2 linked regions of the Drosophila melanogaster genome follow. The main gene of each other region encodes a partner of the protein of the gene in region 2 in a complex. Each region holds a gene or a part of one and is shown on either strand. Other genes may lie near its edges. A codon is read from its position in the direction of its gene.

What was found. Proteins that work in one complex are often made in the same cells at the same time.
Region 1: the proteins of Gyf (region 2) and me31B are in contact, whole or in part, in a crystal structure (PDB 6S8R), measured with the Drosophila melanogaster proteins. Residues at the interface, in NP_001162827.1 of Drosophila melanogaster: Glu344, Asn345, Pro347, Glu348, Trp349, Ala350, Ile351, Glu352, Pro354, Ser355, Lys356, Leu357, Gly358, Gly359, Ser360, Phe361, Asp362, Ala363, Ser364, Gly365, Ala366, Phe367, Gly369; in NP_523533.2 of Drosophila melanogaster: Tyr274 (codon at 1,250), Ala275 (codon at 1,247), Phe276 (codon at 1,244), Val277 (codon at 1,241), Glu279 (codon at 1,235), Arg280 (codon at 1,232), Gln281 (codon at 1,229), Lys282 (codon at 1,226), Val283 (codon at 1,223), His284 (codon at 1,220), Cys285 (codon at 1,217), Thr288 (codon at 1,208), Leu289 (codon at 1,205), Ser304 (codon at 1,160), Thr305 (codon at 1,157), Gln306 (codon at 1,154), Arg307 (codon at 1,151), Leu310 (codon at 1,142), Leu311 (codon at 1,139), Lys314 (codon at 1,130), Glu317 (codon at 1,121), Leu318 (codon at 1,118), Phe370 (codon at 962), Pro420 (codon at 747), Ile421 (codon at 744), Lys423 (codon at 738).

What each region holds. Positions count from the first base shown.
Region 1 is NT_033779.5:10,237,615-10,242,672, reverse strand, and holds me31B (maternal expression at 31B), read right to left. Parts: upstream 3,333-5,058; 5' UTR 3,138-3,332; coding exon 3,088-3,137; intron 2,735-3,087; exon of another isoform or gene 2,589-2,734; intron 2,182-2,588; coding exon 2,082-2,181; intron 1,994-2,081; coding exon 1,615-1,993; intron 1,541-1,614; coding exon 893-1,540; intron 828-892; coding exon 625-827; 3' UTR 501-624; downstream 1-500. Other genes in the region: chico, read left to right, coding at 1-36; mthl15 (methuselah-like 15), read left to right, coding at 4,828-5,058. UniProt on the Drosophila melanogaster protein: ATP-dependent RNA helicase which is a core component of a variety of ribonucleoprotein complexes (RNPs) that play critical roles in translational repression and mRNA decapping during embryogenesis, oogenesis, neurogenesis and neurotransmission.
Region 2 is NC_004353.4:864,025-868,825, forward strand, and holds the start of Gyf (gigyf), read right to left. Parts: upstream 3,002-4,801; 5' UTR 2,952-3,001; exon of another isoform or gene 2,946-2,951; intron 2,271-2,945; 5' UTR 2,243-2,270; coding exon 1,907-2,242; intron 1,849-1,906; coding exon 1,678-1,848; intron 1,619-1,677; coding exon 1,324-1,618; intron 388-1,323; coding exon 1-387.

The DNA of each region.
Region 1 (5,058 bases), on a different chromosome or scaffold from region 2:
TCCTCTTCCTCCTCATCGAACATATTTAATACGTAAAGTTTTGAAATTTATGACCCTATCCTATATATATGATTTGTTTAATATTGTACATTTATTGTAAATATTCTGACAAGCAAAGCTTACAATTTTGGATGCTAATAAATAAATTTTATTTAAATTATAATGATCCCTTTGTACTTTTTTTTTGGAATCTAGTAAATCGGGTAATTGCCAATGGTAATTCTTCCATGTAAGTAAATCTAGGATTTAGCTTGATCCAAGTGTACTTCTCTTGTCCGAAAATCCTGTAATTACTTTTAGACCTTTTATTTGATTTAAACCCTTTACTAAAAACTGGATTGATATTAAACGACCTTAGCCTGCCTTTTAATAGCATTCGACTAACTTTCCTTACCAAATCCCCAATAGTTAATGTTAATACTTCTCAGCACCAAAACCCACAAAGTGAACGAGCCTTTTTTTTATAGACCAGTCATTTCAGTTATCTTAAGAGCGCATTTAAAAATTGAATTGCTTTCCATTTATTTAATACAATTTTGATTTCTGAAATAGTTCATCTGTTTTTATTGATTCCACGATTTAGACTCTATTTCAGATACTAGCGTTACACAGGGCATATCCGTTTTATTTGCTAACGTTGCCCTCCTCGTTCGCAGAATTATTCAGATCACTGTTGTTGCAAGTATCGCCAACGGATGCGCCAACGTTTGCGACATAAAGGGCGGGGTCTATGACCTTCGGAATAGGCTTTATTTCGGTTCCAAGTTCTTTTTCAATCCGATGCAGATCAAACCGATCCTCGTAGGTTATCAGATTAATAGCAATACCTTAAAATGAGAAACGAAGATTGTAAATAGGCTAAACTATAATATGAGAATGCAATTAAACTCACCCAAATGACCGAAACGTCCTGAGCGACCAATTCGATGCAAGTATGTCTCTGCCATTCGTGGGAAATCGAAATTGATTACTACATTCACGGCCTGCACGTCGATACCACGGGTGAACAGGTCGGAGCACACCAGATTGCGACAGAGTCCTTGGCGGAAATCGTGGAATACTCGATTTCTGTGTGCCTGGGCCATCTTAGCGTGTATATAGTAACAGCAATATCCAAGCTCTGTGATCTTTTTGGCCAATAGCTCGACACGTTGCGTGGAATTGCAGAATATGATAGACTGATTGATCTGCAGCTTCGAAAAGAGCGTATTCAAGCAGTGTACTTTCTGGCGCTCCTGTACGAATGCATAGTACTGAGTGACACCCTTCAGTGTTAGCTCCTCCATCAGGTTGATCTCGTAAGGCTCGCGTAAATGCTTCTCCATGAAATTCTTGACTGTTAGTGGAAATGTTGCGGAAAATAGCAAGATCTGTGGATCCTTTGGTAACTTTAGTATAACATGATCCAGCATGCCTTGAAAATCAAGCGACAATAGCTTATCGGCCTCATCCAAAACTAATATTCTGCAATGCGACATATCGGCAACTTTCTTATCCATCAGATCTAATATTCGTCCGGGAGTGGCAATAATTAATTGTACTGCAGGCGTAGGGAAAATTTAGAAAGTTGCAATTAAACCGATATTAGGTTATTTAACTATCATCAAAACCCACCTTTTTGATAAATACGAAGAATGTCATCCTTTAGAATGGTACCTCCCGTTGTGACCATTACCCGGATATCAAGATGTTTCGCCAGCTCAATACATATCTGTGAGGTTTGTAGCGCCAACTCTCGGGTGGGGACCATCACAAGTGCCTGAATGTAGTCCTTGGTTGGGTCGATTTGTTCTAAAACTGGGATGCAGTAGGCTCCTGTCTTGCCTGTGCCGTTCTTGGCCCGAGCCAGCACATCTTTTCCACTTAATGCTATAGGAATAGCTGCTTCCTGAATTGGCGAAGGGCGCTCCCATCCCTTCTCGAATATACCCATAAGCAGTTCTCTTTTAAGGCAAAACTCCTCGAATTCATTGCCTCGCGTATCGGTCACATCCTGAGTAAGGCAATGGCAATACATTTATTTGTTAGTTTGTTTGTGCTTTAAATTGTATAAATTCCGATTGATTTGTCGGCAAACTCACAGTTGTTTTGAATCGGTTGTCCTTTGGCGGCAGCTTCAGCTTTGATTTCCAGCCCATATCGTCACTTGTGTTTCCAGCAATTTGAAGATCATTTATAATCCTGGATGAAAAGAAAAAAAATAAAATGGTAATTAAAGTATTACGATATATGTAGGTCATTCACATCCATATATATATGGATGGCATATATAAGCATATATATATATTAAAAATTTTTGATTTTTAAAATTTTGTAAATGAGTTCTTTTATGTAAAGTGCATTTTAAGCTAAAGTCTAAGCCATGTATTAATGTATATTAATAATAATGTTAATATTGATTTTAAATCGTAAACAAAGATGGATAATGTCTTGAATATTTAAGAACTGAACAATCTAAAAGCGATTGAACTCAACATTTTTTCTCTTTCGCACATTTATGGAGGAGAGAAAAAGAAACGCTACTCCAAATTTTAAAATGGCAGCCCACGAATAACTGTTCATGGCGCTGAAATGCAAAAAAAAAATACCTGTTTTGTTCTGATCTCAAAAGTTGAGAATCACCCAATAGAAGTTTTACCTAAATACAGTGTTAGTTTCTAAATGATTTAAGTCAGTGCAATTATATTTAGCAACATTTTTAGCGGTAAATAAGTCCACGAGTGCAACTACATATGTAGATAACTCTTTTATACATATGTACACATGTTCCGCTACTACATACAATAAAGTAATATAAATACGGGAATCACATTGTTTGGTTTTTTTCATTAGATAACATGTTCTGCAGGTTTAGTTGTTGAGTGAAAACAGCCTAACTACATGATGTTGCTAAAATACAGATCTTCGGCTTTTACATGCTCAATCATTTGCAAAAATTGACGTTCTAAACTATAAAACGGCTTGTCTTTTCGGCATCTAATCATAAATATGGGCTGATGAATACGCATGCATATTATGTTTGTTGGGACACCAAGCTTGGGTCCTCTTGTGAAAAAAAAAATATAAATAAATATAAAATATACAAACCCCTTGCTTGTTAAATTAGTGTGCCCAGAATTTAACTTTTCAGTCATCATTATTCACAGTGAAATTTTAGTTTAGTTTGTTTAAAAAATGTATTTCGCTCTCTTTTGCTTTCGGCTGACTAATGAAGTCACTGTATTCACCGATTTTCATATACTGCTCACGTATTCAACTTTGCGTTTCAATATAAAATTTCACTTAGCTTCAAAATAGTCGAGTCGCCTTACAACATGCTATCAATAATACAAATTTCTGATGACTCGGAAAATATTTTCACTCGGTGTAGATAATAAATATGTATTGCCCTGATTTGGAACGTTGGAATGAAACAAATTTTGCAAGTTCAAAATGACGAACAATAATATTGTAGAAATTTATACATGGCTTAACAAAAACAAATGAACGTTTTAAAATTAGTCCACATATTTAGGCAAGAATTATTTTATTTAAAAAAAATCGGCATTTAAATTTTCCTCTTATAAATCCTGTAGGTGTATATGTATACCCAAATATTTCACATTTTTGTTGTGTTAGCTGCTGTTGCCGTTATTTTAAATTTAAATTAATTTAGAAAAGCATTTCCAATGAGCAACTCCACTCCGGCCGGGTTAAAATCACCGTTTAATTATAACAAAAACAATATATGAACTGCATTTCAGATGAAGCAGCTGCCTGTGTGAACGGGACTTAGGAACGACAGGAAGATTTCGAACGTGTATGAAAGAAGAACATCTGAGTTAAGCTTTAATTTGATTGTCTGCGATTTTTATGAATATCTTTTCATTTATAATTTATAAGTATTAAATATTTAATGAAAGATCACATTAGAAACTAACTAATAACATTAAAATGAATAAAAATTATTTTTTTGATTTTTCTTTTCTTAACCAATGGATTTATACTTTATTTATACTTATTCCGATTGGAGAATGACAAAATTAATATATTTGTATTAGAATAAATAAATAGTACTTGCGATAGAGGAGATTTGTATATTATAAAAATGACATTTATGTTTGCGATTTTAGTTTGTGTCATGAAAGAATATATGGAAAAAAGTCAGCTAATAACTAGACTTAAGTTAATTGAAAAGATAAATACTTGCGTATCGTTGACATTTTCCAGGTGATTTATGGTGCGTAGAGTACTTAGACGATTAAAGGATCCATTGCTTACCTCACCCACCTCTGTACATAAGTGTGTATGGATGTGTGTATCTGTGTACCTTATCAATTTCCCCTTAATGAGCTTTGCACAATGTTAACACGAGCAGTCGCATTTGTCTTGCCGTCAGAAGCTAGTGTACAAAGTCATCAATTGAATTGTGTAGATAGATAGATATGTGTTAGAACCACAAAGTACCTACATAAATATGCGGCCATTTGGGTGTATTGATACCATCCGTGAGCACCCCCAGCATGCTAAGTGTTAGGCACTCCATGGGGCATAACTTATTTGTATAGGCTTACGAGAATCCATAAATGTATTGCCTATATACGTCGAGCTATGTCCGTCTGTGTGCGGGCCAAATGTTTACCCATAAACATTCGCATTTGCTCGCGAAGGAATCGCGAAGACTTCAGTTCAGTTCGTTAAATCCGGCAACTGCATGCGGTTCGAAGTGTATATGGTCCGATAACGATTCCTCAATGATAAGATATGAAAAGTCCGTTCTAAGAAAAGATACAAACATTACACAAGCTCGCAAATCGGTCATTGGGTATAATAGACGAGCCGTAAACAATGAACATCGGACTAAGTTTAGTGTGCCTGATTTTAAGTGGCATTTCAAAAGTGCTCGCCGTTCAGTTATGCTGTGCCGCGAATTCGTTACTATTCAAATATCGCCGCACTGTGGACAATGCGGAAATATACCAGTGCGCTTCCGCCGCAAGCAACATCAGTGAACTTCCGGATCTTGCCCAAGTGATAGGCAAATTGATACCACCAATGGGCCTTGGATTAGAAAAGGCT
Region 2 (4,801 bases):
GTCTTTTTACATCGTCATAGGAGTCTAAGCTTTTGGTTTTTAAAGTATTATGCGAACTTTTGATAGGTTTTAGATCAGTATCTCCATGAAAGGCTCCACTAGCATCAAAACTGCCACCCAATTTCGATGGATTTTCAATTGCCCATTCGGGTAGATTTTCGTCGGCATCAACACCGGCTGCATTATTAACAGTCCATAATTGAGATATTTTAGAACTCGACAACCGTGGGTGCGATATGCTCCCTACTCCCTCTGCAGCTCCGATTCCAGATCCTTTATTGTTTCCAGTCCGATCTGTACTTAAAGTCGCAACTGTTGAAATTGAGCGTTGTAAACTAGCTGCATTGTCGACGCTAGGATCTTCATCACGCCAGCTTGTAGATCTTCCTAAAAAAAATTTTTTTTTAAGTTCTATACTGTTGTTCAATAACTTGGACTATTTAAATTTTAACTTGGTTCATCTTCTTAGCAAATATAGCAAACTTACTAAACAGAAAACCGCTATAGTCGAGCTATTGCAAAACTGTTACCCATTTAGTTAGATACTAGAAATGCAAGCGATATTCAGATATACAAGTAGGAAAGCAAATATGTCAGTGATTGTACACCTGATCCACATAGCGGCAGAACACTAACTCTTAATCACTAAGCACGACAAAAATTTTATAAATACATTATATATACAATTTATTATAGTATCCAAACTTCGATAGAAGATTACCGGGTGAAGAAGTACATTTTAATAAAGCGTAAAGCGTATCAAAGTGTAAAAAGTATATTTGGTTACGTTGTTATGTATAGGCAAGCCCATATTTGAATAGTTTGAACTGTTAGTTAGTTGGACTTTGATACATAACACTTAAAATGGGCTCGCGTTTTTTTATTTTTCAATTTTGATAAATCAAGTCTATTCTGGAAAAAAAAAGATCATTATTTGAAAACGTACTAAAGCTACCAGCGATGTACTTTAGGAATGAAATAAAAACAAGGCCTGATGCATTGCATAGAAATTACCATAGGGATTTCAGCTGGTCTATTAGCATTTTTGTTTAAATATTCTCATATAAAATACTTCATTAACTAAAACATTTAATCTTAATTTTAATATATTTATGAAAAGGTTTTTTAGAATACGTTTTAAAGAAACACAAACTTTACAACAGATTGTAGCATGAATGGTATCGAATGAATAGCCAACTATATAGGCTGGGGAAAGTTTTGGAAAGTCAAATTTACATGATAGAGATAGCAGTACATGTATTATTGTGCTCATATGTGTAGGAGTAAAAATGAAAAATAATAATATAAAGGTAATTGACTGACCCCACCGATGGCTATTGGTACCAAAACCTGCGTTTGTACTTCCACCGACGACACCGCTCCGCCAACCAGCAATATCGGGTCCGCTCATGGAACCGCTGGAGGATGGACCATCACCGGATCCATCTTCGTTACGTGTTCGTCGCCAGTTTTCCAAGTTGCGATGATTATTAGAATAATCTTTTCGAGGACTTGAGCTTGGAGTTCCATTCCAATCTAGAGCACCAGAGCCACTAGTGGAGGTGGTGGTTGCCGCAGAATCTCCAGTTCCGTTGCGGTCGCTCCATGTGCGTTCGGCCTGGCAGAAAAAATCAACAACTAATCGTACTTCCTTATTTAGTTCGTATTTGCAATTACCTTTGATATAACCGATAAGCTTTCATCATATAGACCGCTTGGGCGTTGGTATATCGGATGATAGGCCGATTTTCCGCGCATCCGTCCCCGGTCAACGGTTCCACCACGTCCAGAGCCTCGGGAGGCACTACCAAATCCACTGGGCGAGCGCTGCAACCAGGCAGGACGAGACTAGTTTCAAAGAAAAGTAAATTATGTTCTAAAACTCATGTCAAATTACTTCACATACGTTATTGCCAAGTGAGTTTTGGTTGATGTCCTCCTCGGAGCTCGGTGTCAGTGCAAGAGGGCACTGAACCTTTTCCACGAAGAGCTTTTTGAACGATGGCAGGATCTGCGGCAGTAGGCAGTTCCGATCGAACAAGGACAGCATTTCCTCGCGTCCGTACCGGTATTCTGGAAATAGATTACGGGAAGCGGATGCCGCCGTGTTGTTTCCCAGGTTGTGCCCTCCAATCGAATTGTTTTGAGCTGCATTACCAACGTTGTAGGTACTGGGAGAGCCCGAAGGCTCGGCTGACATATTGCGCAACCATTCCGGGCCAAATTTCATTGAATCTGTCATTTTTATTTGCCTCTTGTTTAATGTTATGCTGACAATAAGTTCAAAAAAGTTTTTGGTTGATTTATTTGTAAGAAAGGCAATGAAATCAAATTTTCAGTGTTTTTGTTAAACTCCTAATGGCTTTATGATTCTGTGCACAATTGTTTATTTTTCAAACAGTTCAAGTTCTATAAATAAAGCAAACAGCTTCAAGTCTTTTTCAAAGCAAACAGTACAACAAAGGATTTATTTTAAAGCTTAGTTAAGAACTAGTGATAAAAAAAAACTTACCAGAGCTTTACAGAATGGATAGTAAAAGTAAAATAATATAATATAAAAGCAACACAGAAACCTAACCTAAAATATCAAACTGATTGTCACACACGAACGCGAAATACACATGCACCCTCATCACACATTAAAATTAACATGTTTATAGAATTGAAATGTCTGATTCGAGCTTTCATGTTTGAAATATAGAACTAATAGAACTAATATAGATCTAAAAGGTAAAAAAAATTCGTAAGTATCTGGACGCATACAGACACACAGTGATGTATGTACAAATTTTTGATTTGTGTGACTTTATCACACTGGGCGGGTGTGTTTTATTTTAAAGATTGTTTAGTTAATTCTTCTGGTAATCTTAATAAAATCAAGCCACTATAACTGCACATCCTAAAAAAATTTTTTAAATTGAATTTCGTAAAAATATTCAACTTACACGTACCACCGAGATATCTTAAAATACCAACGCCAACATAAGATAGAGCAAGGCCAGCGTGGCCGTCTTGCGATATGTCAAGCTTCCAATTTAATTTAGCACAGGGGTATTCTTGCCACTTTTGCTTCTTATACACTAGCTCCACTACTACTAGTTGACAGATACATCACCCTTGTCTTCACATTGCAACATCAAGCACCGGGATTTAGAGAATGCATAAGTGTCAATCTTTAAATCAACCAATCCGTCTGTCTGTAAGAACGTCTCGCTTTCAGGAACTATAAGAACTAGAACTTAAAGCATGCTGATTCTATAGATATAGACGCAGACGATGTTTCCACGACCACTAACTATGTGTTGATTTTTTTCTTTAAGTTGAGTAACGGGAATTCTTGCTTTAATATTATTATTTAATTATTATCACTGCCAAAGCTAGATTCCTACCTTGTTGTTAGCTTTGTATTGAAACTTAGTCTTTCGGAATTGTTAATAATTTTATATTTAACAAGCAGTCGATTTTCATTTCAAGTTCAAGTTTTTCAGTATTATAACATAACAGTAGAAATAGTAAAGTGTAAGTAAACGATGTATTAGTTTATTTTGAATAAATATATAAATACAAATGTATATATTTAAATATATATATATATATATATATATAGTAGTGGATATATATATTTATATATATATATATAAATTTTAATATGGTTACATTATTTTCATAACCGTTTTCATAACCACGTTTGTCTGGTTTGATCCAAAATGAATACCTGGTTTGTGATTATTTTGGTCTTTTTACATAAGTCATGAAGTGAGGGGTATGTGTCAAAAATTTGCTGCGATGTATACGCACCCCTTTTGTCTTTTGTATAACTGTCTGTTCGTACGTATGAACGCCCAGATATTGGAAACGAAAATCGCCAATGGTGCATGTGATTTGTCTGAAAACGATATGACGCCCATAACGCTGATGCCCATGTTCTGAAGGATTTTCGGATACCTTAATCGTATAACAGCGAAGCTCGAGCGATCTTAATCTTTACCACGTTTCGAGGCAGTGAGTACATCTGAAATTTTGGCACTGTTCCCAGATCGGGCGCTTAACGCATCGCTTATAATGCTTTTAATTTAGCGTAAGGGTCATTTCAAAATGTAAACCAAAAACGCAGACTTCGTAACGAGACCTAAAGTCAGTTGCACCCGTTCTGAGCGTTCCTGCGTGTGGGGGAAAAAATATCATTGCAACAGCAGGATCTCAGCCTGCTCCAAGTTAGGAGTATGAGAAGGAATGGCGAGCAGTAGGCGAGGCTTCTCGTTATCTCGGCAAGGATGAAAACGGCTTCTAAGGCAGTTAAACTTTATACATATAATCTCCTACAGTACGTCGTTAACCAACGTGGAAAGGCCTTCAACACAGTTACAACGACAGGGTGAGTGCATAATATGTAAGCCTGATGTTGGTTCCCATTAAGTGCAAGATAAAGACAAATAAATATATATTAAATTTGAACCTCATAAGTAACAATGGGACGGTTATCCAGATTAGAGTTGATTGAATCCCCATATAATTCTATGGTTTAAGCTAAATTTCTGAACTATTAATTTTGTTAAGAAAATAGTGAAGTTCGGCACGCTGAAGTCGCCATGATACAAAAAAGATAAATATATTAAGAATGGAAGTAGTTATTTAATTTAGCTTTATTGTGCTATAATATTAGATCATGGACTAGAATTATAAGATTACTAGTATGCCTCCAGAAATCGAATGATATGCATATGGTGTAGGTGTTAAAAATATTTAAATAAACATGAATTTTGAATTTTTAAACATTTTTAAACATTTGAACAATAACATG